Linked DNA regions of Stegostoma tigrinum. The protein of the gene in region 1 binds, or shares a complex with, the protein of each later gene. Links are inferred from orthologs where the notes say so. Each region holds a gene or a part of one and is shown in the gene's direction. Other genes may lie near its edges. The genes, in order: thoc2, thoc1, thoc7 and thoc3.

Evidence for each region.
Region 2: the proteins of thoc2 (region 1) and thoc1 are in contact, whole or in part, in a cryo-EM structure (PDB 7ZNL), measured with the Homo sapiens proteins. The link is inferred for Stegostoma tigrinum from reciprocal best matches to the Homo sapiens genes THOC2 and THOC1. Residues at the interface, in NP_001075019.1 of Homo sapiens: Leu155, Phe156, Tyr157, Lys158, Gln160, Asn163, Leu164, Leu165, Arg166, Asn169, Glu170, Ala173, Lys174, Ile176, Ala177, Gly180, Gln181, Asn195, Lys197, Ser198, Leu199, Ile200, Gly201, Cys202, Phe203, Asn204, Leu205, Pro207, Asn208, Arg209; in NP_005122.2 of Homo sapiens: Asn134, Arg138, Asn141, Leu144, Arg145, Lys149, Thr153, Cys156, Gly157, Gln160, Leu161, Ala164, Arg165, Phe167, Gln242, Phe245, Arg246, Tyr297, Ala299, Lys300, Phe301, Arg319, His320, Leu323, Gln324, Ile327, Tyr331, Arg373, Phe374, Lys376.
Region 3: thoc2 (region 1) and thoc7 share a complex: the UniProt entries of both Homo sapiens proteins name them as parts of the transcription/export (TREX) complex. The link is inferred for Stegostoma tigrinum from reciprocal best matches to the Homo sapiens genes THOC2 and THOC7.
Region 4: the proteins of thoc2 (region 1) and thoc3 are in contact, whole or in part, in a cryo-EM structure (PDB 7ZNL), measured with the Homo sapiens proteins. The link is inferred for Stegostoma tigrinum from reciprocal best matches to the Homo sapiens genes THOC2 and THOC3. Residues at the interface, in NP_001075019.1 of Homo sapiens: Tyr395, Arg396, Pro401, Lys402, Gly403, Ala404, Lys405, Gly406, Ser407, Pro446, Ile447, Ala450, Arg454, Cys500, Asn501, Ala502, Cys503, Met504, Glu506, Pro563, Arg566, Gln567, Lys570, His573, Tyr603, Leu604, Thr605; in NP_115737.1 of Homo sapiens: Asp193, Met196, Ile208, Val217, Gln218, Asn221, Ala222, Pro224, Ser225, Ala244, Asp245, Ala246, Leu247, Ser249, Trp251, Asp252, Asp254, Glu255, Leu256, Val257, Cys258, Val259, Cys261, Ser263, Leu265, Asp266, Pro268.

The regions. Positions count from the first base shown.
Region 1 is NC_081368.1:29,291,342-29,299,327, reverse strand, and holds the start of thoc2 (THO complex subunit 2), read left to right. Parts: upstream 1-4,974; 5' UTR 4,975-4,998; coding exon 4,999-5,090; intron 5,091-7,986. UniProt on the Homo sapiens protein: Component of the THO subcomplex of the TREX complex which is thought to couple mRNA transcription, processing and nuclear export, and which specifically associates with spliced mRNA and not with unspliced pre-mRNA.
Region 2 is NC_081358.1:78,360,409-78,367,494, forward strand, and holds the start of thoc1 (THO complex subunit 1), read left to right. Parts: upstream 1-4,072; 5' UTR 4,073-4,089; coding exon 4,090-4,137; intron 4,138-7,086. UniProt on the Homo sapiens protein: Component of the THO subcomplex of the TREX complex which is thought to couple mRNA transcription, processing and nuclear export, and which specifically associates with spliced mRNA and not with unspliced pre-mRNA.
Region 3 is NC_081364.1:48,290,294-48,298,018, forward strand, and holds the start of thoc7 (THO complex subunit 7 homolog), read left to right. Parts: upstream 1-4,719; 5' UTR 4,720-4,779; coding exon 4,780-4,819; intron 4,820-7,046; exon of another isoform or gene 7,047-7,170; intron 7,171-7,725. UniProt on the Homo sapiens protein: Component of the THO subcomplex of the TREX complex which is thought to couple mRNA transcription, processing and nuclear export, and which specifically associates with spliced mRNA and not with unspliced pre-mRNA.
Region 4 is NC_081366.1:46,163,965-46,171,831, forward strand, and holds the start of thoc3 (THO complex subunit 3), read left to right. Parts: upstream 1-4,852; 5' UTR 4,853-4,867; coding exon 4,868-5,050; intron 5,051-6,424; coding exon 6,425-6,581; intron 6,582-7,867. UniProt on the Homo sapiens protein: Component of the THO subcomplex of the TREX complex which is thought to couple mRNA transcription, processing and nuclear export, and which specifically associates with spliced mRNA and not with unspliced pre-mRNA.

The DNA.
Region 1 (7,986 bases):
CAGCATCCACTCTTTCTAAGCCATAAATAATCTTGTAAGTTTCTATTAGATCTCCCCTCAACCTTCTAAACTCTAATGAATACAATCCCAGGATCCTCAGCCATTCATCATACGTTAAACCTATCATTCCAGGGATCATCCGTGTGAATCTCCGCTGGACATGCTCCAGGGCCAGTATGTCCTTCCTGAGGTGTGGGGCCCAAAATTGGACACAGTATTCTAAATGGGGCCTAACTAGAGCTTTATAAAGTCTCAGAAGCACACCACTGCTTTTATATTCCAACCCTCTTGAGATAAACGACAATATTACATTCGCTTTCTTAATCACAGACTCTATCTGCAAGCTAACCTTTAGAGAATCCTGGACCAAAACTCTCAGATCCCTTTGTATTTCTGCTTTACGAATTTTCTCACCATTTAGAAAATAGTCTGTGCCTGTATTCTTTTTTCCAAAGTTCAAAACCTTGCATTTGCTCATGTTGAATTTCATCAGCCATTTCCTGGACCACTCTCCTAAACTGTCTAAATCTTTCTGCAGCCTCCCCACCTCCTCAGTACCACCTATCTTCGTATCATTGGCAAACTTCGCCAGAATGCCCCCAGTCCCTTCATCCAGATCATTAATATATAACGTGAACAAGTGAGGCCCCAACACTGAACCCTCGTCACCAGTTGCCATTCCGAAAAAGAGCCTTTTATCCCAGCTCTCTGCCTTCTGTCAGACAGCCAATCCTCAATCCAAGCCAGTAGCTCACCTCGAACACCATGGGCCCTCACCTTGCTCAGCAGCCTCCCGTGAGGCACCTTATCAAAGGCCTTTTGGAAGTCTAGATAGATAACATCCACTGGGTTTCCCTGGTCTAACCTACTTGTTACCTCTTCAAAGAATTCTAACAGGTTTGTCAGGGATGACCTCCCCTTAGTAAATCCATGCTGACTTGTTCTAATCTGACCCTGCACTTGCAGGAATTTAGAAATCTCATCCTTAACAATGGATTCTAGAATTTTACCAACAACCCAGGTTGGGCTAATCAGCCTATAATTTTCCATCTTTTGCCTTGATCCTTTCTTAAACAAGGGGGTTACAACAGCAATTTTCCAATCATCTGGGACTTTCACAGACTCCAGTGACTTTTGAAAGATCATGACCAAAGCCCCCACTATTTCCTCAGCCACCTCCCTCAGAACTCTAGGATGTAGCCCATCGGGGCCAGGAGATTTATCAATTTTTAGACCTTTTAGCTTTTCTAGCGCTTTCTCTTTTGTAATGCCTACCATACTCAACTCTGCCCCCTGATTGTCCTTAATTGTTGGCATACTACTCATGTCTTCCACTGTGAAGACTGACACAAAGTACTTATTAAGTTCTTCAGCTATTTCCTTATCTCCCATCACTAGCCTTCCAGCATCAATTTGGAGGGGCCCAATGTCTACTTTTGCCTCTCGTTTGTTTCTTATTTATTGAAAGAAACTTTTACTATCATTTCTAACATTATTAGCTAGCCTACTTTCATATTTGATCCTCTCCTTCCTTATTGCTCTTTTTGTTATCCTCTGTCTGTTTTTGTAGCCTTCCCAATCTTCTGATTTCCGAGTGCTCTTGGCCACTTTATTGGCTGTCTCTTTTTCTTTGATATATTTCCTGACTTCCTTTGACAGCCACGGCTGTCTAATCCCACCCCGGATAAATCTTTCTTTTCTTTGGGATGTACCTCTGCACTGTGTCCTCAATTACACCCAGAAACTCCTGTCATTGTTGCTCTACTGTCTTCCCCGCTAGGCCTCTGTTTCCAGTCGAGTTTCGTCAATTCCTCTCTCATGCTCCTGTAATTACCTTTATTTAACTATAACACCATTACGTCCGATTTTGCCTTCTCTCTTTCAAACTGCAGGCTGAACTCGATCATATTATGATCCCTGCCTCCTAAGTGTTCCCTTATTTTAAGGTCTTTTATAAAGTCAGGCTCATTACATAGCACTAAGTCCAGAATAGCCTGCTCCCTTGTGGGTTCCATCACAAGCTATTCCAAAAAGCCATCCTGTAAACATTCCATGAATTCCCTTTCTTTGGATCCACCGGCAACATTATTCACCGAGTCCACCTGCATATTGAAGTCCCCCATGATCACCGTGACCTTGCCTTTCTGACATGCCATATCTATTTCCCAGTGCATCTTGCGCCCCTGGTCCTGACCACTGTGAGGAGGTTTGTACATAACTCCCATTATGGTTTTTTTGCCTGTGTGGTTCCTCAACTCCACCCACACAGACTCCACATCCTCTGACCCTATGTCATTCAGTGCCGTGGATTTAATTCCATTCTTAACTGACAAGGCAGCCCCGCCCCCTCTGCCCACCTCCCTGTCTTTTCGATAAGTTGTGAATCCTTGAATGTTTAACTGCCAGTCCTGAACTCCCTGCAACCATGTCTCTGTGATGCCTACCACATCATAATCATTCAAGATGATTTGTGCTGTTAATTCATCTACTTTGTTGTGAATAGTACAAGCATTTAGGTGAAGTGCCTCAATGCTAACTTTCTTATCACTATTAGAGATACTGGAAATCCTAAGATGTCTTAAGCTATCCTTCCTTTTTGCTGTATTCCTAGTCTGCCTCAAGCTTAAACCCACCTGTACACCTGCTATTCTGTTGCTTATCTTTCCATTTAACTCCATACTCCCTGTCACTTTCGCCTTCCCTTCCCCCCAACTCAGAAGTTTAAAGTCCTACTGACCACCCTATTTATCCTTTTCGCTAGAACACTGGTTCCAGATTGGTTCAGGTGGAGACCGTCCCCAACGGTACAGATCCCCCCAGTTTAAAAAACTGATGCCAATGCCCCATGAAATGGAATCCCATGTTAGTCAGGGACAATGTGCCTTCCATGAAACCATAATGACTCTGCATGAATAGTTCCCATTTTCCAAATGAAAACCGAAAGAACTGCGGATGCTGTAAATCAGTAGCAAAAACGTCGCTGGAAAAGCTCAGCAGGTCTGGCAGAATCTGAGAAGGAAAAAACAGTGTTAATGTTTTGGGTCCGGTGATCCTTCCTCCGAACACCTCAGTTCTGAGGAAGGTTCACCAGACCCAAAACGTTAACTGTTGTTTCCTTCACAGATGCTGCCAGGCCTGCTAAGCTTTTCCAGAAATAATGGGAACTGCAGATGCTGGAGATTCCAAGATAATAAAATGTGAGGCTGGATGAACACAGCAGGCCAAGCAGCATCTCAGGAGCACAAAAGCTGACGTTTCGGGCCTAGACCCTTCATCAGAGAGGGGTGATGAAGGGTCTAGGCCCGAAACGTAAGCTTTTCCAGAACTTTGTTTTTGTGCCATTTTCCAAAAGTTCTGCTATTACTTCCCTAAGAATTGATTCCAATACTTTTTCAATAATTGATGTTACGCTAATCAGCCTATAGTTATCTGCTTTTTGCCTTACTCCCTTTTTGAATAGGGGTGTTGCATTAGCAGTTTTCCATTAATTTGGTACTTCCCTGAAATCCAATGATTTGTGGAAAATTACCATCAATGCATCACTATCTCTGCAGCTACCTCTTTTCAGATCCTTGCACGCAAGTCATCAAGACTCGTGGACTGATCTGTTTCTCACCTCATTAGTTCGTCGAAAAATTCTTCTTTCGTAATCAGGATGGTACTTAATTATTCTCCATATTCTTTTGCATTAAGGGGATTTCAAAGTATACTCAACCATTGAGACTGATGCAAAAGAGAGTTTATAACTCTTCTGCCATTTCCTTGTTCACCATAACCATCTGTCCGGGTTCAATGTTCAAGAAGGTCTACGTTCACTTTGACCTATCTTCCCTCTGATATATTTAAAAGAAGATCTTATCATCAGTTTTTATATTCCTTATCAGCTTGTCCTTGCAGTTTATTTTCTTTGACTTTATTATCTTTTTAGTTCTCCTTTGTTGGTTTCTGAATTTATACCAGTATTCCCAAACAAATGTATCCTAACAGATATATGTTCCGAAAATGAGTGACCAAAATGGAGGTTGAGAGGAAATTAAGGTTGTAAGAGCTGTTCCTCTTTCTGAGTTTTTCAGTGCTGGAACTGATTTCTTTTATTTCTTGGAGCAATAATTATTGTTATATGTTTATTTTTGGAACTTTAAAAAATATCAAAAAAACCACAGATAAATGGGATGAGACAGACTGAATGAGATGATAGAGAAAGTGGTGGAGGCTAGCAAAATTATAACATTTAAAAGGCATCTGAACGGGTACATGAACAGGAAGGGTTTAGAGGGTTCTTAAGAAAGGTCACTCGACCCAAAACATTTTCACTGAGTTTGTCGCCACAGATGATGCCAGACCTGCTGAGCGTTTCCAGCAATTTCTGTTTTTGCTTCTGATTTGCAGCATTCACGAATCTTTTTGTTTTTATTTTGGGTTTACAGGAATATTGGCCAGATGTAGGCAAACGTTACTGGGTTAATTTAGGATCTCTGGTCTACATGAACAAGTTGGACCGAAGGGTATGTGTCTGTTGTACAACTCTAATTCTGGTTGTGACAGGTAGTCTTCCAACTCTTAGATGTGTAGAATAAACTTCAGCTAATCTAAAGTTTATTTATTTTTTTAATATGGAAAAAAAAATTCACCATAACCTTTCAACGCAAATAGGAATTGGGGGAAACACAAAAAATTTCCTGAGCACGAAATCTGATTTACCTCAGAAAGTACCTACTAAGGGTGCTTTCCCCACAGGAAGTACATGATTCAAGGGGCAACTGAACATATTGTCCAATTTTCCCAGTTCTTGCAAGATCCAAAAGGCTCCTCTCTCAGCAAATGCTAGGAGAAGTTTGTCGCACTGCTGGTTTAGCCTCGGTAAAGCCAGGGAACAAACCATACCTAAAATTCACAGGGCTTCCTCCACTAACAATTGGCTTGCCCTCAGTATCCCAACATGCAGCGGGTAACATTGACCTGTGACCCCCTCATCTCACCGGGCGATACATCCGGGCTATGAGTGCAGAATGGTGTGCAGCTAAGATGGCGGTGATGGTGTTCCATGGCGACTGGTTGAAGAATTGGGAGAAAGGGGGCAAAACGGATTTGTAAGTCGGGCGGAAATAAACTCCCTAAGTGTGCATATGGAGCTGATCGTTTGTATCTTAGAATAGGCAGAGTGCAGAACGCGATTGGGCTGCGAATGAAAATCGCGTAACCCCCCCCCCCCCCATGTTTGAGCTTTGTGTAATTTTACATAATGTAAAACGTGGTGGCGTTTAGTTCGGTGGTGGCCTAATCGGTTTTAATCCAGAAAAGGCTTAATAACAAACTTGACTGTTTCTGGTCCGTAAATCGACAATATGTGGGTCTCTTGCATAATGTCTTGGTTATGAGAATTTGTTTTGTTTTAAAGGTAACGAGATAAATGTGCTATTTGACGTAGGAAATAGGTTTCTGATTTCAGGACTTTTTTAACTTTCAAAGGTGTTAATTATGTTGTTGATTTGTTCATCATAAGATAAATATTGAAATCTAAATTTAGGTTGAAAGTGACAAGATTACGTCTTTCCCACAATTCAGTTCATGCCAAAATATTCAGACAAAGTAATGGTTACTGCAAAGTATTTTGGAATGGATTGCATATGAAATGTAAGTTATGTTGTCATTTTGATTCTGATCTTTAAACGATTATGATTAGTTGGAAACTAAGGATAGAGGGCGACATATATATCAACCTAATCTGTTTCATTGCGGTTTGTTGGATTTTGATGAAATTTATTAAACAAATCAATTTTAAATCTAAAGATACACCAATACAAAAATATTGTCATGAAAAATGATTTTTTGTTTTTGTATCATCCAAACTTGTTTGATGTAATTAGGGCTGTGGAATCCAAAATGACTTCAAATGAAACGGAGAAAGAGGTCTTCCTCAGGAAATAATGGGAACTGCATATGCTGGAGAATCCAAGAAAACCAAGTGTGGAGCTGGATGAACACAGCAGGGCAAGCAGCATCTTAGGAGCACAAAAGCTCCTAAGATGCTGCTTGGCCTGCTGTGCCCATCCAGCTCCACACTTTGTCATGTCTACTTCCAGAAAGTTGTGATCTCTTTTCTGACATTATCAGACTTGGAATTGGATCTGTGATTACACTAACAATGTGATTATAGCAAAGTAACAGCCCATAAATATCGAAATCCTGGTTATGATGCAATTGGTATACTTTTCATAACTCAGTTTATCCAGGTTGATATTGAGCAGTTATGGGTTTTGTCCATAAAATTTCTGATCTAAATCTGTTACAATGTGGGACTATCAAATGGTTAACTGAAACGCGAGTGTTCTGAAATTTAGAGCAAAAATACCATATAGAATATTTGCACTAATTGGGAACAGAAGGTCATGTTGCAGTTGAATCTGATGAAAAGTAGATTATTATCAATATTGCATTGCTTACTTTAAATCTTTATAACCTTCAACAAATTTTTGTGAAAACAGAATTTATGACTTTCAAGTTTTGAATGGTACAAAATAAAATTGGACTTTATTCAAGCTTTCTTTGAATTATAATCAAAATACACCAGATTTTCATGAGAGCTTGTGCTATGGTAATAATAACATTAGCAACCAATATTTGTATAACACTTTTTTAATGAGCAAAAACATTAAGGTGTTTCACGAGAAGATTATAAAACACAATGTGATACACAGCCACGTGAGATACTAGATTAGAAAGGGGTAGGTTTCAACAAGTGTCTTAAAAAAGAGAAAAAGACAGCTGTAAAATAATGGAGAAGCAATTGAAAATACAGTTACTGAAGGTGGAACAGATGTGATTTAAATATGTGCAAGGATCCAGAATTAGAAAAATGTGAACATTTTGAAAGGTTGTATAGTTGGAGGAAGTTAGTGAGGAAGGGTTGAGGCCACAGGTATTTGAAAACAAAAATGCAAATTTTGCATTTAAAACATTGATTGGAAACCAGTGGGGTTGGGGAGGTGGGTGGTGGTCACAGAATGGATGGAGAACGGAAAATGCAGCAGATGACCTGAAATGGCTGAAGAAATACCATGCTACAAAAGTGGAGACAGGAAAATGTGAGCTGGTACTCAACTCAGGGTCATAATGATGCCAAGCTTGTGGAAAACAAAAATGCTGAATCCCAGACTTGTTGGGCAGGAGGTGTGTCTCAAAGTTGCAAGTTGGCGAACAGAATTTGGAATTTGAAGGAATTAAAATAAGAGCTTCAACCTGGAAGGTTTTTTTTCGGAGAAAACTGCTGTTCTTGTACTGTATTTGGATAAGTAGTCTGATAATTTAGCAACAGTGTTGTAAGAGTTGGTGGTGAGGCAATGCTGGGTGATTGTGAAAACCAACACACTGCCTTTTGAAGATGATGCCAAAGGAATATGTGAGACGGAGCCAAAAATAAGTCCTTGGGGAAAGCCAAGGGTATTGTGCAGGAGCAAGAAGAGAAATCATTGCAAGTAATTTTCAGGCTATGATTTGATAGGATTGTGTCTGCCTTGTTCCATTTTTATCTATCAACTCGACAGTGATGGAGAGGCATTTAAAGAAGAGTGGTGTGGTCAACTGTCAGGCTACAGATAGGTTGAGCATAACTGTGGGCAAAAGTTTATTTATGGTACAATCATATAATATTAATGAATTGGTTCTAGGCCTTTTTGGAGCTGTGGCAGGGCAAAAAATTAATTGGAATGATTCAAAGGTGGAATTTTTGAAAAAATGGCAATAGATTTGGGAAGTGAGGGAGTTGAAGGTTGGAGCACGGGATGGCATTTTGCAAGGACTCTGTGTTTCAACGTTGACTTTGAAGGAGATGCTAACAGAAGATATGATGGAGGCGGGGACAGTGTTAGAAGAGAGGCACCAGGATCGGAAGTTGTGTGATCATCAGTTTGGGGATGGGATCAGAGAAGCAGGAGGTGTGTCTCATGGCCATGGTGAATTCAGATAGGGGATGAGGGAAAATAGATC
Region 2 (7,086 bases), on another chromosome or scaffold:
AATTTGATTTGCCCAAACTATATGAAGATTAAAGTCACCCATAATTACAAATATTCCTTTATTGAGTCTGTCTGAAATTTATTGTTTAATGCCATTCCCAATATAACTCCTACGGTTTGGGAATCTATACATAACCCTGACTAATTCTTTTTGCACTTTAGTGTTTTTCTATGTTTCTAGCAGCAAAGTTCCACATCATCAGATCTAATATCCATCCTCACTATTAAGTCAATTTCCTCAAAGATGCAACTCCATTGTTTTTTCCTTTTGGTATGCCGTTCTTAAATACTGGATATGCCTGAATTTTCAGTTCTCATTCCTTGTCGCCTTATGACCATGTTGCCATAATCCTGACTGTATCACACCTGTTTTCACCTCTTTCAAAACCTTAAGACTTGTCTTTTTAACCATTACTGTTGCATTCCCATTATTTTTCACTATGGCTCTGTTTGGTCTCAAACATTGATTTCTCCACCTACCACTTTCTTTATTTCATTTTTTACCTTTTGTTCTTGATTCTCTTCCTTCTGACTCTTTACATATGTTCCTGTCCCCTTGTGAGAGTAGTATCATACTAATGTCAATGGACTAGTGATCTGAAGGTCCAAGCAAATGCACTGGGGGCACAGGTTACAATTGCACCGTAACAGCTGATTGCCTTTAAGTTTAATTACTAAAAACTGGAATTGCAATCTGGTCTTAATAAAGGTGACTGTGAAAATAATATCAATTATAAAAATCCATCAAGTTCACAAACATCTTCTGGGGAGTAAGATTTGCCATCCTTACCTAGTCTGACCTACATATGGCTCCAGACCAGAGCAAAGTTATTGATGCTTAGCTGTCATCTACATCTGGCAAGTTCAACGGCAAATAGGGGTGGGGAAATACGCTGACCTCATGTGTAGTGGCAACGTCCCATGAAAGGACAATAAAAAAAGTCTGGATAGAGGTCCAGAATCTCCAAATCCGTTGTGGACTTCCTCTTGTTGTACTTTGTACCGTTATTGCCATCCACCTTCCCCAAACTGCTGTGACAATAGTTGGAGTTGAACATTTTGATTTTAAAGGGAATATCTACCTTGTTATTATGGAAAACAATAGTGGTCACCAACATCAATAGCTCAATTCCATGAAAAATGTCTTTTTCCATGCAGATAATGGGCTACAATATTTGTAAATGGGAAATATATAGGGATATGTAGAGATTAGATTTAAGGAATATATAGATGAGTTTGAAGTGAGCTGAAGTGTCTCAGTGGTCATGTGGGAGACACCCTGCCAGAAGGTGAGTGGTTAGGGATAGATGTTTCTATTGCAATACTCTAATTTATACAATGTAAATAAATGCGGTTTAAAGAAAATCCTTGAGGTTTGGCCTGAGCTCATCATGGCAGATAAACTCTATGTCCCAGGTATATACACTCTGAATTCATGATCAAATTGATCCTCTTCTTTTATCCGTTTTTTTATTTTAATGAATAAATTTAGTAAAACTGCTCAGTTGCCAAATAAACCTCGAATTTGTCCATAAAACCATCAAAATTTAAAAGATTTCATTATCTTTACAGTTAAGGGTCTGATACCTTCAGTAGCAATAATGATCCATATTCCTTTTTATTCCTTTTTCAGTTAACTTTCTTAAAGCTGTACCTGAAAAATTATTGTGACGTTATTCACTTTGCTGCAGGAAAATAGTTCAAAAATTTGTTTACATACTGTTAAACATCTTAACAGTGCTCCTCAACCTAGTTTTTCAAATGGAAACAAAACTTTTTGTCCCTTCCCTTAAGGAATCAAATTTATTTTGGTTATCCAGTAATCAGACTCTTCCCACAAATCCTGGATTCAGATTTTGCCCATAAGCTGCTTGTGGGCTTTTACTGCTCTCACTGTTTATTTAAATGCTTCTTTGCTCTATTCCTGAATTTAAAAGGCATTTTGAAATGTTGTGCTCTGGTGGTATTGGAAGACATTTTCTGTTCAATGTTTCCCTCACAGCAGCTATGCAGTTCTGTGACTTTTATGGCTCCATTCCGCAAATGCTTGAAATTTACATTTTAAAATTCTTCTATTTTCCACAGGATATCAGGTCTGTTTCTTGATCTTCACTCTTTTTCAAGACAGGGAATCCTGTGATTTCCACCATCTTTTATCATGTTGTTTGATGCCACGCTATGAGTTTGCATTCAGACCGTTAAGTAAAAGGCAAAATCATAAACAATCTTCAGGCTTAGATTTCAAAACAACAATATTTATAATCATGCATTAAAACTGAATACTGTGATACATGGTAATCATAGATACACCAGGTTCTGACTTATAAATTCATTCAGAAAAGACTAATTGATTTTTTTTGTGTATTCATGTCCATGTGCTCTTGTGAGATAGTTCAAACTCAACTCACACTGTTCAATTTATGCTCAGTGATGTGTAGCTTTGTGACAAAAGTGTAAGGTTCTTCCAGGATTCAGGAGCAATACGGCAGTTCAAAGACCTGAAACATTAATGCTACTTTTCTCTCAGCAGGTGTTTATGGAATCTGCTGAATATATCCAGCATTTTAATTGCTTGATTTCAGGAAACTGAGTGGAGGGCACACCCCTGTATGCAATCAGTGATGCTGAGACAGAGATAGTCAATAGTGTCAAGCTCCTGGGAGTGATGATCACCAAAAATCTGTTCTGATCAAACCACGATGAAAGAAAGCACAACAACATCTCTACTTCCTCAAAAGGCTAAGGAAATTCAGAATGTCCACAAGGACTCTCATCAATTTTTATAGATGCATCATAGAAAGCATCCTATCTGGATGCATCACAGCATGGTTTGGCAAGTACTTTTCCCGAGACCTCAAAAAATGACAGCCCAATTCATGACACAAACCAGCCCTCAATCCATTGACTTCATCCAAATTTCTTGCTGCTTTGGGAAAGCAACCAAGGTTAACAATGATCCCTCCCACCACGGTTATACTCCCTTCCACCATCTTCCATTGGGTACGAAAATAGATTCAAGAATAGCTACTTCCCAGCTGTTATCAGACTTTTGAATGGCCTCTCAAATGTTACTTCTGGTCTCTCTCTACATCTTCCCTGCTGCTGAAACACTGTTTTCTGCAAGCTGTTCTGCTACCCTGATGCATTTTGTATGGTATGATCTGTCTGCACAGCGTGCAAAACAATACTTTTCTCTAGACTCTCTAATTTTTCAAACTGTAATTTTGTGTTCTTCATAATGATGCAAACTATAATATTGTGCTCTTTGTGATGCTGGACTCTGCGCAACAGTATAGTTAAAAATAATGTGTAAAGTTGCAGACTGATGGGCTTCCTCCCAGACAGAAAAAAAACGTAAATAAGCAATAAAACTTGGAAACAAACATACAGGAGATCCATTTTTGGCATCTAAGTATGCTTCAAGTTTTACTGGTTTTTGATATTGCAAACTATAATATTGAGTTATGCATACTGTTATGGAACCATTTCAGGTTGTCATTGAGCCCACTGAGTTAATATCTACTCTGTGTCGGGCAGTTTAGTTGACCTTTCTCATGGCCAAACAATTTCCTTCTGAAATTGTTGTCTCTGCTTGCACGACCTGCTGAGAGATCCTGGCCATTACCTAATGAATGGTCCTCGTATTTCCCCTCATCTCTTTATCTCAAATCCTAGAATTTGTATCAGAGATAATAGGAACTGCAGATGCTGGAGAATCTGAGATAACAAGGTGTGGAGCTGGATGAACACAGTAGGCCAAGCAGCATCTTCGGCGGAGGAAAGCTCACCCTTCTGAAGGGTCTAGTCCCGAAACGTCAGCTTTCCTCCGCCGAAGATGCTGCTTGGCCTACTGTGTTCATCCAGCTCCACGCCTTGTTATCCTGGAATTTGACCTCCTCCCCGACCCTGATCAATAAATAATGTTTGCATACCATAACATTCGGTTTTGCATAATATCCCACACTATTATTGGGCTCCCTCCCATCTTCCACCTGTCATGTTTAGTCAATAATCCATTCTAACGGAAGGGGCGCTGTTGTGCCCAGATTCTATTTCCCAGCTTGCTTCACGTTCGGGACTTCCGGTCAACATGTCTCCTGGTTTGTTCCAGTTTAATGAGGCTCGACAGAAATTCAGTGTAAGGAGTTGTTGGTAGTTTTGCGTCCGATACTAATCGGCTATTTTACTTTGTTGCTTTATAATAGATGGTGTAGGTAGTTCACGCTAAATGAAACTGTTGGGGAGGGAGTGATCGGCCGTCAAAAGCGATATCCAGCACCGGTCTGGAAATGCGGCGTGGCACTAATTTGTTAAAATCTGCATTATTCGCGCCCAGTGTGGTCGACTTGTGTGCCGAATTAAACTGATATGTTCACTGATTTATCGTATATTCGGTTCCTGATTTTTAAAAGAAGGGGGCGTGTATTGATTAATGATGTTGAAGGATAATTAATTTCTGATCAGATCATCAGGCAAACCTCTCCGTTTTTCAAATTGTACCATCTAATGGGGTCGTTTATTTGAAGTCTAACCTGAAAGATAGCCTTGACTGTATTAAAATTGCCAGACTTGATTATACGCTGAAGTCTTTAGAGCTGGATTGAAGCCTACAACTTCCAAGGGTTATCAGTGAATGGAAAATTCTTTGTATCAGAAAGATATGCCTTAAAAGACAAGGGACCTGTTAACCTGTCTGTACTACATGATAAAGTACCAGGCACTTAAAAGGAATTGGGAAAATAATTATGAGCTGAATAGCAGGCATTAAATAAGTGTTAAATATTTAGACTATCTTTGACTAAACTTGCTGGGCCAAGTAACATAGAACATAACAGCACAGTACAGGCCCTTCGGCCCTCGATGTTGTGCCGACCTGTCATACCGATCTGAAGCCCATCTAACCTACACTATTCCATGTACATCCATATGCTTATCCAATGATGACTTACATGTATGAAAGGGAATTGAGATTTTACAGTATTTACAGGAATCCTTTCTCTCCTTTTCTTTATTCAGGAAGTCCAAGGTAAGAATCACTACCTGATCATGTAGTAGCTAACGAACCAGAGCAGAAAGGCGATCAGAGAGCTTTGGAGTGTCTTAGTTGGTTAATTGCAACATAATTCTGAGGAAGGGTCAACTGACCTGAAATGTTAACTCTGATTTCTTTCCACAGATGCTGCCAAACCTGCTCAACTTTTCTAACAATTTTTCTTTTGTTTGTAATTACAACATAGTAGTGTTTGGTATTTAAATTGGGAGAGACTTTGGGGGGGAAAAACTAAGATAATAGGCTAGAAAATGCAAATTCAGAACAACTAAAGTTAAGCTGGGAAAAGATCTTTAAAAGCAAAGATAAAAAGAATCAGGAAATTTACAAATGATATTAAATCATGAGAAATGAATTGTACTAAAATTTAAAAACAAGATATCCACTTCTGGGACATGATAGAGGTACAAGACAGGTAAGAAGTGCTAAAATACTATCTGAGAAGATGACAATAGGGTATATGATAAATTTAGAAGAGAAGTAAAAATAATTCAGTAAAGCTAGGATAAATTGTATAATGAAATTAGTAAGGAATATGAACTATATACTTTCTTCTGTCGACACAAATATCAAAGGATAATGTCGTGATTGGGTCACTAATCAGTGAGCAAGATAAACTGTGGCAATGATAGAAATAGCAAGTATTGAATGGATATTTCAGTTCTTTTGTGCATGAATAAGAATGCAACAAAATCCAAACAGACTTTAGAGAACTTGTTGACTGGGAAGTTAAGTTGTCAACAAACCAGTCGATAAATACACAGTGTATGTCCTTAGGTCAAGAAAACAGAAACATCATCCGTATGTTGGAAAATAAATTGAATGGTATTGAAGAACCAAGTTTATTGACAGAAGTGAACAAATCACTAAAAGCAACATTGCAGACCAGAAAAGTATTTAAAATTGCTTTTAAAGCTTAGCTGTTTCCAGGGCTACACAATTCAAAAGCAGTATTTTTCGGCCCTGCTGATGTATTTGTTACAGTTTGCAACATTTAAAACCAGTAAAACTTGATGTATACTGGTCCACTTTGGCTTCTGTATAAAGAAAATGGATCTCCAGTACAACATCTGTTATTTCCAGGTTTTACTCTTTAATTGTGTTTTCTTTATGCCTAACAATTTGCAACATTACACAGACTGATTTTGTCTGTAATGTGAACAGTAAGAGAGTGGTTAAAGGAGAATTTCAACCAGAGACCAAAAAGAGATCAATGCCAGGGGGCAGAGGGGCATGGCAGATGTGACAAATGAAAAGCATTCATTTAACTTTACAAAAGAGGAGGTCTGCTTAGGTCACGGTGACAGAGGAGGCAATTCGATCACTGGAAGAGTTTTTAAAAAATCAATGAAGAAGGAAGTTTGGATAGCTTGTGGGCACTTAAAGTTCATAAGGCATACAGACCAGATGAGATATGTTGACATTTTTTGAAGGAAATGAGGGTGTCCAAACTGTAGGGGCACTGACTGTTGCATTTCTTGGACTTAGAAAGTGCCTGAAGGCTAGAGAATTACAAATATTACAGCTTTATTCGTGAAGGGTGGTGAAGATAATCCCATCAATTAGGACCAGTTTGTTTAATTTCAGTGGTAGGAAAACATCTAGAAATAATTATTTGGGATAGAATTATTAATCACAGAAAAAGGTCAGGATACGTTAGCATGGATTTGGATTTCTCAAGGGGAAATCATGCTTAACTAATTTGCTGGGAGTTTTTTGAAGAGGTAAAAGAAAGGATCAGTTAAGGTAACACTGTTGGTGTGTTTGTACATGGATATCCAAAAGGTATTTGAATAGCCCTACACAACAGACTTGTGAGAAAAGTTGTAGGTCATGGTACAAAAGGGACAGTTAAGCAAAATGAATACAAAATTGACTGAATGTGAGGAAACAGATAAATGGTCTAGGCCCGAAATGTCAGCTTTCCTGCTCCTCTGATGCTGCTTGGCCTGATGTGTTCAGCTCCACACCTTGTTACCTCTTAATTGTCAGTAGATATGTTTCAGACTGGAGGAAAGTTTCTAAAGGAGTTCTATT
Region 3 (7,725 bases), on another chromosome or scaffold:
ACACCCTCCTCTTCCACACCAGCTCCCTCCCTTCTCTTTCCCTCGTCTTCCCTTTCCATTTACCATCTGAACCTCTCCTGTTTTCTGCATTTCTCCCCCCTCATCTCCTGCTCTTTCCTGTCTCTTGTCTCCTCCTTCATCCTCCCACTTTTCACACTCCCACAGCTCTCTTTCTCCCCCTTCCTGTCCTGTTTTTCTATCTCTCTGTCTCCCGCTTACCATATTCCCCTCCTTCGTCTTCCCATTCTCTGTTATTCCATGCAACTGCCCCCTCTTCTTTTATAGTTATAAAGATCCACAGCACAAAAAAAGGTTATTTGGCCCATAACTTTTCTGCCAGTCAAAAACAAGCATCTAACTATTCTAATCCCATTTTCCAGTACTTGACTGATAGCTTTGTGTGCCTTAGCATTTCAAATCTTCCGTGATAAACACACTGCCTTTTTTAGATGCTGTCTTTATCTCCTTAAAGTAGCTAAATGATAGGACAGAGTCTATTAGGGTGCCTGTAGACTACTCCCTATCAGCTTTTTCTTGCCCTTGTTGTTTCTTACTTCTACCCATTTAGATGTGGCAGATGGATTTTAATACAAGCAAGGTTACCCATTTTTGGATTGCAAAAGAATAGACAAGGGTATTTTTTTTATAAGGCATAAATTTAAATACATTGCCTGATCAATGAGATTTAGGGATTGAGGTGCATCGATCTTTAAAATGCCACGAATAAGTGCAGAATTTAGTCAAGAAGAGTAATGGAATGCTGGTTTTCATACTAAGGGGCCGAAATATGGTGATACAGACGTAAGGCTGCAGTTATACAAAACAAAAACAAAGTTGCTGGAAAAGCTTAGCAGGTCTGGCAGCATCCACGAAGGAGCAAACAGAATTAACGTTTCGGGTCCAGTGACCCTTCACAGATGCTGCCAGACCTGCTGGGCTTTTCCAGCAACTTTGTTTTTGTTCTGATTTACAGCTTCCACAGTTCTTTTTGTTTTTATGCAGTTATACAAAACCCTTGGTAAATCCCATTTAGAGTACTGTCAGCAGAACTGGGCACCATGCCTTAGGAAGGATGTTTTGGCCCTGGATGGAGTTCAGCACAGGTTTAAAAGGATGATAACTGAACTTCAGGAATTCAAATTATGATGAGAGATTAGACAAATTAGGCCTTTACCTTCTAGAATTTTCAAGGTTAAAAGGTGATCCACTCAAGGTCTTCATAAAGATAAACTATTTCCATTGGTTGCAGGTTCAACAACTGGGGACATAGTCTAAGAATTAAACTAGACCATTCAGGAGACATGTTAGAAACTACTTCTATATGTGATGAGTAATAAAGTTTGGAACTGTCTTCCTCAAATGATGTTTGATGCTAATTCAATTGTTAAATTTAATAAATCTGACAGAGACAATTTATTTTAACAAGCAAGGGTATCAAGAGATTTTGGGTCCCAGGCAGGCATATGGAATCAGGCTATAGATCAGCCATAGTCTTATTGAATGGCAGAGCAGGGTCAAGGGGCTGAATGGTCTAGTCCTGTTCCTACTCTACAACTATCAATTCAAGATAATTTCTTGCTATTGTACTTATTCCATTTCTTCTTAAAAATCCCAAATGCCCTTTTCTTTCTGTCTGTTTGAAAAATCACATACCCTTGAAAATTTAGCTCCCAGCAATGATTTCCTTGAAACCATGTCTGTGTGATGCCAACAAGGCAATACCCATTAACTGCTATTTATACCGTTAATTCACTTATTTTGTTTTTAATAAAGAGCTGTTAATTTTGAAATAGCTTCCAACATGGACCTGCACTGATTTGCCAACTGGGGAAGGGTGGTAGGTTGTAATTAGCAGCTTGTGTTGGACTGATCCAGGGATAGTGATCAAGAGCCTGGGATACTGGCTGTAACACATGATTTGGCGAGCATAATCATCAGAGACTGTTGATTAGGCTGTGCGAAAAGGCATTTTGGTACATATTGTCACTTGTTGGTGAAGGAGAACTTTGGTTGTGTGTCTTTTGGTTTCTGACGTTATTCCCCCTCCCTCATCACCAACCCCTGTCCCTCTGTCATGTCCCCCAACCACTGACAACCCCTCCTTCTGTCATTCCAGCCCCCGACTGTTGTCTCCCCACCTTCTGTTGTTAACTCCCTCCCTCTGTCATTACCCTCTCCCTGTATTACTTCCCCTCCCCTCCTTCATCGCCCCCTCCCTCTGGTCATTCCCCCTTTGTCCTTTCCCTCTATCAATAACACTTCCCTTCCCTCTTCCCTCACACCCTCCCTCTGTCATCCTCCTAGATGAATATATCTAGATGAGAACGCCACTACTGTTACAGACTTCATTAGCAAATGTGTAGAGGACTGTGTGCCAAAGAAGTGAATCTGAATGTTCCCGAGGTGGAAACAACAGATGAGCCGGGGATCCATTGCCTACTGAAATTCAAGTGTGTCGAGTTCAAGTCAGGTGGCCCTGACCTTTACAGGAAGTCCATATAGAACGTCTGTAAGGCCAGAAGAGACACTTGAAGGCAATATCGGACTAAGCTAGAGCCCCAAACTAACCACACAGGCGCCCACCATTTGTGGCAAGGCCTACACAACACAACAGGCTACAAAATGAAGCAGAATTAATAACTGATGAAAATACACCCCTCCCTGCTGTGCTCAATGCACTTTATGCTCGTTTCAAACAGAAGGCCAGCGAAACGGTGTCACCTGCCCCAATAGACTCAGATGCATGTGTTCCCTCCGTCACCGCTGCAGCTGTCAGCTCGGCCTTCTTGAGAGTAAACCCACTAGAAGTGACTAGCCCAGATGGAGTCCCCGGCTGTGCACTTGGATCCTGCGTGTAAATCCTAGTGGAAGAATTAGCTTGGAGACAATCAGGATTGCAGATACTGGAAGCTGGAACCAATAAACGTGAAGCTGGAAAAGCACAGCCAGTCACACAGCAACCAAGGAGCAAGAAAGTCAATGTTTCAGGCCAAAACCCTTCATCGGGACTCACGGAGAAGGAGTAATCACTGACATCTTTAACTTCTCCTTAGTACAATCTGAAATCCCCAACTGCTGCAAGAAGACCACCATCATCCCAGTGCCAAGGAAAATTCATGCAAAGTGCCTCAATGATTCATCCATCGTTTCCGGTTGGAGAACATACAGATTGCCTTTTTTGGCATGCAGTCGTTTATACACTTGCTTATGAAGTCTGTATCGGTAGTGGCAAACTCATCTAGGTATTCTAGTTCTGACCTCCATAGTCAATGGCTCATATAAACTGAAGCCTCCCAGGCTGCCTTGATCCCTTGCAATTCGCCTTTTGTCCCTACAGGTCTACATTAGACACCATTTCCCTGGCACTACACTCATCCTTGGAACATCTGGACAACAAGGTTACCGATGTCAGACTCCCACTTATTGATTACAGCTCTGCCTTCAACACTACAATTCTAACCAAATTAATCTCTAAATTCCAAGACCTGGGTCTCTGTTCCACCCTCTGCAATTGCATCCCCAACTTCCTGACCCACAGACCGCAATAAATGAGAAAATGCAGCAACACCTCCTCCGTAACAATCGTCAACACCGGTGCCTCACAAGGCTGCGTAATCAGCCCCTTACTATACTCTCTGTTACACGCACGGCAGTGTGGCCAAATTTCATCATAACTCCATCTACAAGTTTGCTGATGACACCACTGTTAGATCTCAAACAATGATGAGGCAAAATACAAGTAAGAGAGAATGCTTAGTAGTGTGGGTAAAGATAACAATCTCTCCCTCAAACCAAATGAAAGAGCTGGTCATTGACTTCAGGAAGCAAGATGGAAGGCATGCCACCATCTACATCAATGGAGATGAGGTGGAAATAATTGGGAGCATCACGTTCCTAGGTGTGACAATCACCAACAATCTGTCCTGGTCCATCTACGTTGATGTGACAGTCAAGAAAACACAAAATGCCTCTATTTCTTCAGGAGGCTAAGGAAGTAGCAATCGGTAGTAGATTCGCCAACTTTTAGTACATTTAAGTCATCATTGGACAAGCATATGGACGTACATGGAATAGTGTAGATTAGATGGGCTTCAGATCGCTATGACAGGTCGGCACAACATCAAAGGCCGAAGGGCCTGTACTGTGCTGTAATGTTCTATGAAATTTGCCATGTCCATTAAGACTCTTACCAACTTTTACAGATGCACCACAGAAAGCATTCAATCTGGATGCATCATGGCTTGGTGCAGCAACTTGTGTGCCCATGACCATAAGAAATGACTGAGTTGTGAACATGCCCAGTCCATCACACAAGACAATGACCCACGCATTGACTCTACCCACACTTCTCACTGCTTTGGAGAGGCTTGCCACCATAATCAAAGCGACCTCCCACCCTGGTTATAACCTCTTCCAACTGCTTCTGTCAGGCAGAAAATACAATAGCTTAAACACATGTACCAGCAGGTTCAAGAACAGCTTTTTTCCTGCTGTTATTCGACTCCGAATGGACCTTTCAAATTTAATGTTGACCTTTCTCTTTGTGCGCCTTCTCTACAGCCGTAATACTGTATTCCTCTCAGGTCCAGTACCCTTGTCGTACGATCTACCTGCACGACATACGATAATAATAAATAAAATACCTCCACTCCCCACTCGCCCCCGGACTCCGCCTCCCGATCTCTACGTCAACATGACTCCGCCTCCCGAAACCCCCCACCCCCAAATACCTTGACTCCACCTCCCAAACCTCTGACCCCGCCTCTTGGTGCGCCGCGGATGTTTGCTCGGCCTGGAGCCGCCATGTCGGTCACTGATGGTAGGGCCTGTTTCCTTTCCTAGTTGTGCGCTGCCTGGACCTGAGGCTTGGGCCCTGGACCCTGCTTTCGGGCACTGAGTTGGGGGAGCGGTGCGATTGTCGTGTTGAATCGGCTCGTTGTTGTTTCAGCCGGTCCGTGCTGGTGGAGCCCGGGTCTCTGCCGGCTGGATCCTCGGGTCATGATTCTGATTAAGTTCCGGTTAAACCCACAGGCAGTCGGTTATGTGATGGAGTTTTAAAGAGACCAAGTAGTTCGCAGAGGTGGGAGTGGAGTAGGGACCTTGCCAGAGAACAAAGTATCAGTAACTGAGGGCGGAGCAGCAGAGGATATGGTCAGTGGGCCCTTCACTCTGTTCTGCTTTGGACCTATCCCTGACACCCGCACTTTGCAAATAAACATTTACAATCAACAGGAAGAGAAGGATCTGTCCCAGCCTTTACGAGAAGGGCGGAGTTGATATGGCTTGATGATGGCGTCTATAGCTTCCCCGATCCTTCTTTGATCCATGATAACAAGGTGTAGAGCTGGATGAACACAGCAGGCTGAGCAGTATCAGAGGAGCAGGAGAGCTGACATTTTGGCCTAGACCCTTCTTCAGAAATTGGTCAGACACTGCTCTGTGGAACTATAACCGAGAAGTGTGAGGACAATTTCCATACATAGGTCAATGTCACCTTTACTCCTCACGTTCTTCCCTTGATCTCAAGGCTCTTGCTTCTCATCGTGGCCAAAATGTACTCCACGTTTAATGTTAGCAAAGCCAAAAAAAACTTTGTCTTCACTTTAGTCAATATCTATTTGCATTTGGCCATGACTTACCAGCTGGTTGCTTTCAAACCTTTGGTCGTACAACTATGCTTGGCAAAGATAAGCATCATTTCCCACCTTCTGTTGAGACTGCATTATTTCTGACACTCTTTATCCTATTGTTACCAAATGCAAATGCTTGAGGCTGGACTTGTCTAGTATTTTCCCCATCTTGCCTCCACCTTCTACAAATTATTCCTAATGAAGTAGACTGTGCATTGTTTGCTCAAAATCCTATTCTTATCACCCCTGGGAATAACTTCATGATTCTGATCTTTACTTGCTGATTCTTTTATTTGTTTGCTATACCTTAGTGCAGTAATTACTTTTAACTAAATAGCTGACACACTCTGGATGTCAGCATACCCGACATCAAGTGAACCCAGATAGCTCTGTTGGTATGTTACGCTTTTAAGCAGGGTTTTTTGTGGTGCAATGGTAGTGCCTGTACTACTGAGTTAGGAGACCTGCTTTCAAGTCCCACCTGTCCCAGACATGATTGAACAGGTTGTTTAAAATGTCTACTCTTCATCTAGAGATGTGTTATAGATTCATAGAGTCGTACAGCACGAAAACGAAAAACTAGATGCTTCGGTCCAACCAATTTATGCCGAAAGTCATCCCAAACTAAACCAGTTTCACCTGCCTGTTCCTGGCCCATATACTTCCAAACCTTTCTTATTCATGTACTTACCTAAGTGTCTTTTACATGTTCTATTTGTGCCCACATTCACCATTTCCTCAGGAAGTTCATTCCACACAGGAACCACCCTATTGTGTTTTTAAAACAAGTGCCCTCCATGTCATTTGTAAATCTCTCCCCTGTCATCTTTAAAAATATGCACCTTAATCTTGAAATGCATGACCCAGGGAAGAGATACCTACATTTAACCTTATCTCTATACTCCTCGTGATTTTACAAACCTCCAAAAGATCACCTTTCAACCTCCTCCATACTTAACTATCTTCAGATCCCAAACCATCTTTCCTTTTTACCCTTTCCCCATAAAGGTGCTATTAATGTCTGATATATCAAGTATGTTGAATTATTTTAGTCTTAACTGTAAAAAGATCATTGACAAAAGTTTAAATCTCACCAAATAATTCAGTTAACTATTTAGAGACTTTTGAATTGAACTTCATATGCACTAAATCTATGATGCAAATTCAGATGTTTAAGATTCCCTCCTGCACAGAGTTTTGTCACTTTTGAACTTTATTATACTTATCATAAACTGTCCTAAGGTGCTTCACAGGAGCATTATCAAAATTTGATACCAAAGCTCATAAGGTATGAGGACAGGTGACCAAATGCTTCTTTAAAAGATAAGTTCTAAGGAATTCTAACATTTTCCAGTTCTTCCCTTCTCTGCTGCCTTACATACTGAGTGTTTCTAACTTTTTCTGTATTTGTTTCAGACTTCCAGCAGCTGTGCTATTTTGATTTTATGCCAAGTTTAAGGAGCATCTTAAAGGAGGAGGAGAGAGTTGGAATGGTTTACGGATGGAATTCCAGAGCTTAGGGTGGAGTGATTAAAATCAGGTGTGCATAAGGCAGAATACGGAAAAATAATGAGATCTCATAGGATTGTAGTTCTGGCAGAAGTTGTAGACACAGGGAGAGGTGGAAAACTGAGAAACGTGAAAGCAAGGATAAGCTATTTTTCAAATTGTGGTGTGGCCAGACTGGCAGTATAATGACGCACAGATATAATAGATACCTGATGGCTGAATTATAGTGCCACTTAGGTGCATTGTAACTTTAAAAAAAAGTGTGGCAACGAATTACCATGTGTGCATTCATGAACATCATTTATATATTGGAATTTGCCTATCAAACCTATTTATCAAGCAGTACTTGCTGACTAGCAATAATGTTGGGTGTTTGCTTTTTTTTTCAGATGCGTGTTAATTTCAACCTTTACTGTAGGCTTCATGAGTTTGCTAAGAACTGAAGTGAAAATAGATAGCTTGTAATTTTCCTGGCGTTTCTCAATCCATTCTGCTGAAGAGAGGCATTATTTGACTGCTTTGCTCTTGTGCTGTTAATGTTTCCTGCAAGATTTTGGAAATCATAGTCACAGTCTTTGTGACTCTC
Region 4 (7,867 bases), on another chromosome or scaffold:
AAAGAAACCCGAGCTTATCCAGCCTTTCAGTATAGCCAAACTGTTCCATCTCAGGCAACATCCTGGTGAGTCTCCTCTATACCCCATCCAAATCAATCACAACCTTCCTATAGTGCAGTGACCAGAACTGCACGCAGTGCTCCAGCTGTGGCCTAACCAAAGTTTTGCACAGCTCTAACATAATCTTCCTGCTTTTATATGCTTTGCCACAACTGATAAAGGCAAGTCCCATTTGCTTCAGAGATAATGGGAACTGCAGATGCTGGAGAATCCGAGATAAAGTGTAGAGCTGGATGAACACAGCAGGCCAAGCAGCATCTTAGGAGCACAAAAGCTGACGTTTCAGCTAATGTGGCAGCTTTTGTGCTCCTAGGATACTGCTTGGCCTGCTGTGTTCATTCAGCTCGACACTTTGTTGTCCCACTTGCTTTAACTACCTTACTAACCTGTCCTGCCACCTGTGGATAAAACACCCCAAAAACCCTGTTTCTGAGCTGCCATTCATTGAGTACTCCTTTGTCTTGTTACTTCCTTCCAAAGGGCATCACCTCAAACATATCCAGTTTATATTCCACTGATTTACCATCTGGCCAATACATCTATATCCCCTTGTAACCGAAGAACTGCTTCCTCACTGTCAACTATCCGGCCAATCTACATATCATCTGCCAACTGACTTATCACCCCTTCCACAATTTATCCTCTCTCATGTCTACATGTAACAAACAATAAGGAATCCATACTGATCCCTATGGACACTGGCCTCCAAACACACAAACAACATTTTACCATTATCCTCTGTCTCCGAACGCTGAGCCAATTTTGGATCCAAATTGCCAAGTTACATAGATCCATAAGACCATAAGACATAGGAGTGAAAGTAAGGCCGTTCGGCCCATCAAGTCCATTCCGCCATTTAAATCATGGCTGATGGGCATTTCAACTCCACTTCCCTGCACTCTCCCCGTAGCCCTTGATTCCCTGTGAGATCAAGAATTTGTCGATCTCTGCCTGGAAGGCATCTAACGTCTTGGCCTCCACTGCACTCCGTGGCAATGAATTCCACAAGCCCACTACTCTCTGGCTGAAGAAATGTCGTCTCATTTCAGTTTTAAATTTACCCCCTCTAATTTTAAGGCTGTGCACACGGGTCCTAGTCTCCCCACCTAACAGAAACAACTTCCTAGCGTCCACCCCTTCTAAGCCATACATTATCTTGTAAATTTCTATTAGATCTCCCCTCAACCTTCTAAACTGTAATGAGTACAATCCCAGGATCCTTAGCCGTTCATCATACGTTAAACCTACCATTCCAGGGATCATGTGTGTGAATCTCCGCTGGACACGCTCCAGGGCTAGTATGTCCTTCCTGAGGTGTGGGGCCCAAAATTGGACACAGTATTCTAAATGAGGCCTAACTAGAACTTTATAAAGCCTCAGAAGCACATCGCTGCTTTTATATTCCAACCCTCTTGAGATAAACAAAAACATTACATACGCTTTCTTAATCACGGACTCCACCTGCAAGTTAACCTTTACAGAATCCTAGACCAACACTCCCAGATCCCTTTGCAATTCTGCTTTACGAATTTTCTCACCATTTAGAAAATAGTCCATGCCTGTATTCTTTTTTCCAAAGTGCAAAATCTCACATTTACTCACATTGAATTTCATCAGCCATTTCCTGGACCACTCTCCTAAACTGTCTAAATCTTTCTGCAGCTTCCCCACCTCCTCAGTACTACCTGCCTGTCCACCTATCTTTGTATCATCGGCAAACTTCGCCAGAATGCCCCCAGTCCCTTCATCCAGATCATTAATATACAAGGTGAACAGCTGTGGCCCCAACACTGAACCCTGCGGGACACCACTCATCACCGGTTGCCATTCCAAAAAAGAGCCTTTTATCCCAACTCTCTGCCTTCTGTAAGACAGCCTATCCTCAACCCAAGCCAGTAGCTCACCTCGAACACCATGGGCCCTCACCTTGCTCAGCAGCCGCCCGTGAGGCACCGTATTCCATGTACTTTCATTTTCTTTATTAATTTCCCACATGGTACCTTGTCAAAACCTTTGCTAAAATCCACATAAACATCAAATGCACTACCCTTATCCGCACATCTCGTCACCTCTTTGAAAAATTCAATCAAATTTTGTTAGATATGAATCTCCCTCTAAAGTGCCGACTATCCCTGATCAAACTTTGCCTTTTGAAGTAGACATTGATTCTCTCTTTCAGAATTTTTTCCAATAGTTTCCTACCATTAATGTGAGACTCAATGTTCTATAATTCCCTGGTTCATCTCTCCAACTCATCCTGAAAAGTGCAACCTCATTAGTTGTTCTCTAATCCTCTGACACCTCTACTGAGGTCATACAGGAATTAATATTTGGGTCAGAGCTAATGTAATTTCCTCTTTTGTCTTCCACAGCAGCCTGGGATACAAATCATCTGGACCTGGGGATATCTTCATTTTAAAGCTTCCCAAAATCTCTAATGTCTCATCACTCCCTATGCCAAACTGCTCAAAAACATTACAGACTCTTTTCCGAAAAATCAATCAGAAACCTTATTACCTTGAAAAAAATACTTGGTTGAGGACTTGAACTGCCAAAAAATTCAAAACGATGGACCATGTGCTGGAAAGTGGGATCATTATTGACAGTAGTTTTTTTGTCAGTGCAGACTTGAAGGGTGGAAGGCTGTCATCGATGATTTTATGATCTGGGACCTGATATATAACTACAGTTTTTTGAAAACTTAGTGTTATCAATTTGTCCCGTCATATTTCCAAAATTTTACTCATGAACATTGTTTTCCTCTACCATAAACAAATATCCAAAACAGTAGGGGCACATTGTATTTTTTGTTACTGCTTCTGCAATCCGTTAAAATTAGTATGGACTGATCTATCAGTCAGGAGACAGAAGTGAAGTACTCATTTAACATGTTTAACATTATAAACTCATTTGATGTCCTCTGACTCCACACATAGATTGCCCCCTTGGTCCGTCGCAAGGCTTGAATTTTCCATGGTAATCCTCTGCCCCCTAATATACTTATAGAGCATCTTGGGATTCTCCTTAATCTTACTTGCCAGTATTTTCTCATGCCCCTTCTTTAGTTTCCCAATTACTTTCTTAAGATCCCCCCTTTGTGCTTCCTACACTAGGGCAATGAAGCTTCTGGTCATATGCTCCCTTTGAAGCTGTTAAAAGTCTCTCTTTTCCTTCTTATCCTGTACTGAATATTCCTAGTCATCTAGGGTCCTCTGTGCTTGTTGCTCCTACATTTGCCCCTAAATGTACACATCTGACATTCACCCAGAGGGTTAGAAAACAACCACCCAGAGGGTTAGAGAATTGTGGACATCCAGACTCACCGCCTAGAGGTACAGTCAGAGGTAGAAACTCTCAAGACATTTAAGAACAATTTTGATGGGAACTTGAAACACCATTGCATATGAAGCCAAGAGCCAAGTGCTGGAAAATGGTATAGAATAGATGGATGTTTCACGGCCAGTATGGTATGATCGGCTGAAGGGGAACTTACCATACTGTCAAAAACCTTTCTGACCAAGGCTGGTTCTACTTTATTATTTTGATATTAACATTATTTTTTTCCTGCTTTCCCCCTCTTTTCTTTAGAATAAAGTTCCATGGATTATAGACATCCTCCAGTACTCAATCTAAATTTGCTGTACTTGAAACATTTTATAACTCTCACCTAAAGTATACACTTGTGTACTTTCAGCAGATGTTGGTGAATGAAAACCCTGGTTTAGTTTCCCCTACCTAGCTTTACCCTGGAGCATTAGAGGCTGACAGCTAACCTTATAGAGGTTTATAAGATCATGATAGCGTGGATAGCCAAGGTCTTTTGCCCAGGGTGGAAGAGACCAAAACTAGAGCCAAAATGTCAGTTTTTGTGCTCCTGAGATGCTGCTTGGCCTGCTGTGTTCATCCAGCTACACACTTTGTTATCCAAAACTAGAGGGCATAGGTTTAAGGTAAGAGAGGAAAGATTTAAAACAGACCTGAAGGGTAACTTTTTCACACAGAGGGTGGTGCATGTTTGGAATGAACTGCCAGAGGAGGTGGTGGAGTCTGGTACAATTACAACATCTTAAAGACATCTGGATGTGTACATGAATAAGAAGTGTTTAGAGGGATATGGGCTAAATGCTGGTAAATGGGACTTGATCAGTTTAGGATATCTGATCGGCATGGATGAGTCAGACCGAAGGGTCTGTTGCTGTGCGGTATGACTCTATGAATCTATGAGTGAGGATTGTACAGCCCTCTCCTGTGAAAGAACCAAACAGAAATGCATGAACAGAGATAATGGGAACTGCAGATTCTGGAGAATCCAAGATAACAAAGTGTGTAGCTGGATGAACGCAAATCCCCACCTATACTCTTCTCTCCACCTATCTTCTCCTCTACCCATCTTCGGTCCGCCTCCCCCTCTCTATTCCAGAACCCTCTCCCCATCCCCCTCTCTGATGAAGGGTCTAGGCCCGAAACGTCAGCTTTTGTGCTCCTGAGATGCTGCTCGGCCTGCTGTGTTCATCCAGTTTCACACGTTGTTATCTCAGAGATGCAGTGAAAGGGTCATTACCCCTTTAAGACAGTAGTAAGTGATATCTGACCGTACCATTTCTTTCCAGGGATGGATTTTAGAGCACAAACTTTTCAAAAATGAAAACTGGTTGCATTTTCAAATATGTTTAGAGAGAAAACATGATTTTTAAAACGACATAAGTATCAGTTGTGCCCGAGGTCTGCAGTCACCAAGTAATCCCTGTGACCATTCGCTCACGCCTCCCCCATCCAGATTGTGAGAGGAGTGGACCGAGCCGGCAAGATGGCGGCAGCCAGTTACTTGCTGGAATCCCAGGAGCATTTCAAAAATAACGGCCGCACCAAGGAATTCTCGGCCCATACGGCCAAGGTGCACTCGGTGGCTTGGAGCTGCGATGGACGCAGGCTCGCGTCTGGCTCCTTCGACAAAACAGCTAGTGTGTTTGTGCTAGAGAAGGATCGGCTGGTCAGTGGCGAGATGAAACAGAGAGAGGATGAGAGGGGAATCAACCTTCAACTCGGTTTATCTCCCTCTTGCCCCAACACACACACACACACACACACACAGCACACAAGCCGTCCGGCCTCCGTCACTAAAGTATCCAGCACCTGATAAAGTACCCCCAATACAAGCCCTCCAAAATGCTCCCACTCCCCCCGACACCCGTACCCGTGCTCGTTCGGTGTTCTGTTTCTACTTTCCCCCCGCACCCCCTGTCATAAAAACCGAAAGGGCTGCGGATGTTGTAAATCAGAAACAAAACAGAAAAACTCAGCAGGTCTGGCAACATCTGTGAAGAAAAAAAAATCAGTTAACTTTTCGGGTCCGGTGACCCTTCCTCAGATGCTGCCAGACCGGCTGAGCTTTTCCAACGACTTCTGTCTCTCTCCCCGTCATGACTACTTAGTAACCTTAACTCCTGGAATCCCTACACTGCGGGAAAAGGCTATTCTGCCCTCTGAAGGAATCCCACCTTGACCCCAAACTTGTTCCCCGTAATCCCACATTTACGATGACTAACCCACCCAGCCTACACATCCCTGGATACTATGGGGTAATTTAGCATGGCCCATCCACCTAACATGGATGTAAGTGCTGGCTCCATGGTAACACGTCCGCCTCAGTGCCAGTGGACCGGTTTTGGTGCCAACCTTGGGTGACTGTGTGGGGTTCTGCTGGGTGCTCTGGTTTTGTCCCATAGCCCGAAGGTGTGCAGGCTAAGTTGGTTAGCTGTAGTCAATTCATAGTTATATGGATAAAGTGGGATGCTCTCCAGAGGGTGGTGCACGTTTGATGGGCTGTATGGTCTCTTTCCAGACTTTAGAGATTCTATGATTTTTGGGAACCTCATATAATTGAAATTGATCAGCAGAGACTGAACTCCTGAGAATTTTCGGTACACACTTTCACTTTTTTTTTCTTTTAATCTTAATTTTCATGAAGAATGAGGTCAGCCAATTGATACCCTTCGGAAGTCACAAATGAACTGTAAATTTTTTGTATGTCTACCAGTTATTTGAAACAAGGTAATGTTTGCACTTTTGCCTTTCTCACATTGAGGCATGATATAAAATTGTGTTCATTACTAACCGTGACTGCATAGTTATTTTGTTGATGTGCTGAGTGAGAAATGGTTTTCTATGCTTTGAAGAAATTTTCAACTGTACTTGCCATCATCACAGGGAAATAACCAATGTGACACTCATTTCCAGGAAAGCTACTCACTCACCAACAAATATAGTCCACCTTTCTTTACAGAAAGTGGATCATACAGCTATAACATTTTTATTTCGCATTCAGTTCACTTATTTCTTTATGTAACATTTTTGCGTATTTCAGGTTAAGGAGAATAATTATCGTGGTCATGGTGACAGTGTGGATCAACTTTGTTGGCACCCAACCAATGCAGATCTCTTTGTAACTGCCTCTGGTGACAAAACGGTTAGAATCTGGGATGTCCGAACTGCAAAATGCGTTGCTACTGTGAACACGAAAGGTATGTTATTGAGGAATTTCCTGGATACTGTAATATATGACTTAATGTATAAAAATTTTGTTCATATAATGAAGGGTTAGGAATGACTTGACTGACTACAGTATGAAAATGCTGCTTCCAACTTAAATAGTTGAGATGCTCTATATTTAGGATTTTTGTCACCAAAGATTGCATATCATCGTTCTCTACAAATATACTATCATTTCTTAGTATGTTATTTCAAGACTGTAAGATATAGGAGCAGAATTAGACCAATTGACCCATTAGGTTTACTGTGCTATTCAATCATGGCTGATATGTTTCTCAACAGCATTCTCCTGTCTTCTTCCTGTAACCCTCGATTCCCTTACTATTCAAGAACCAATCTTTCTCTTATTTAAGCACACTTAATAACTTGGCCTCCACAGCCCTCTACAGCAAACGTGTTCCACAGGTTAACAGAGAGAAACAGGGGGAGGCGGATAGAAGATGGATAAAGGAGAAGATTGGGTGAGAGGAGATAGACAGATCAAAGAGGTGGGGTTAGAGCCAATGAAGGTAAATGTAGGTGGGGAGTTAGGGGGGGATAGGTCAGTCCAGGAAGGATGGACGGGTGGGGTATGGTGGGAGCGGGACGAGGTTAGTGGGTAGGGGATGGGGGTGGGGCTTGAGGTGGGAGGAATGGTTAGGGAGGCGGGGACTAACTGGGCTGGTTTTGGCATGTGGTCGGGGGAGGGGAGATTTTGAAGCTTGTGAAGTCCACATTGATACCCTTCGGCTGCAGGGCTCCCAAGCGAAATATGAGATGCTGTTCCTGCATCTTTCGGGTAGCGTCATTTGTGGCAATGCAGGAGGCCCAGGATGGACATGTTGTCTGAGGAGTCGGGTTGGCGGGGGGGTGGGAGGAATTGAAATGGTTCGCGACTGGGAGGTGTAGTTGTTTGTTGCGAACAGAGCGTAGGTGTTCCGCAAAGCAGTCCCCAAGCCTCCGTTTGGTTTCCCCAATGTAGAGGGATTAGCGGATACAGTATATGTGAGAAGTCTTCTGAGAGCCTGGGACCAGGGTGACGTATAGAGGCAGGTGTAGCACTTGCTTCTGTTGCAGGGAAAAGTGCGGGGATGGTGGGGCTGGAGGGGAGTGTGGAGTGGACAAGGGAGACACGGACAGAGTGGTCCCTCTGGAAAGCATATAAGAGTGGGGAGGGAAAAATGTCTTTGGTGGGGTTGGATTGCAGATGCCTACAGGAACGGCATCAGAATGATTCTACACACCCTGACACACTCATCACACTACCCTACATCAGGAA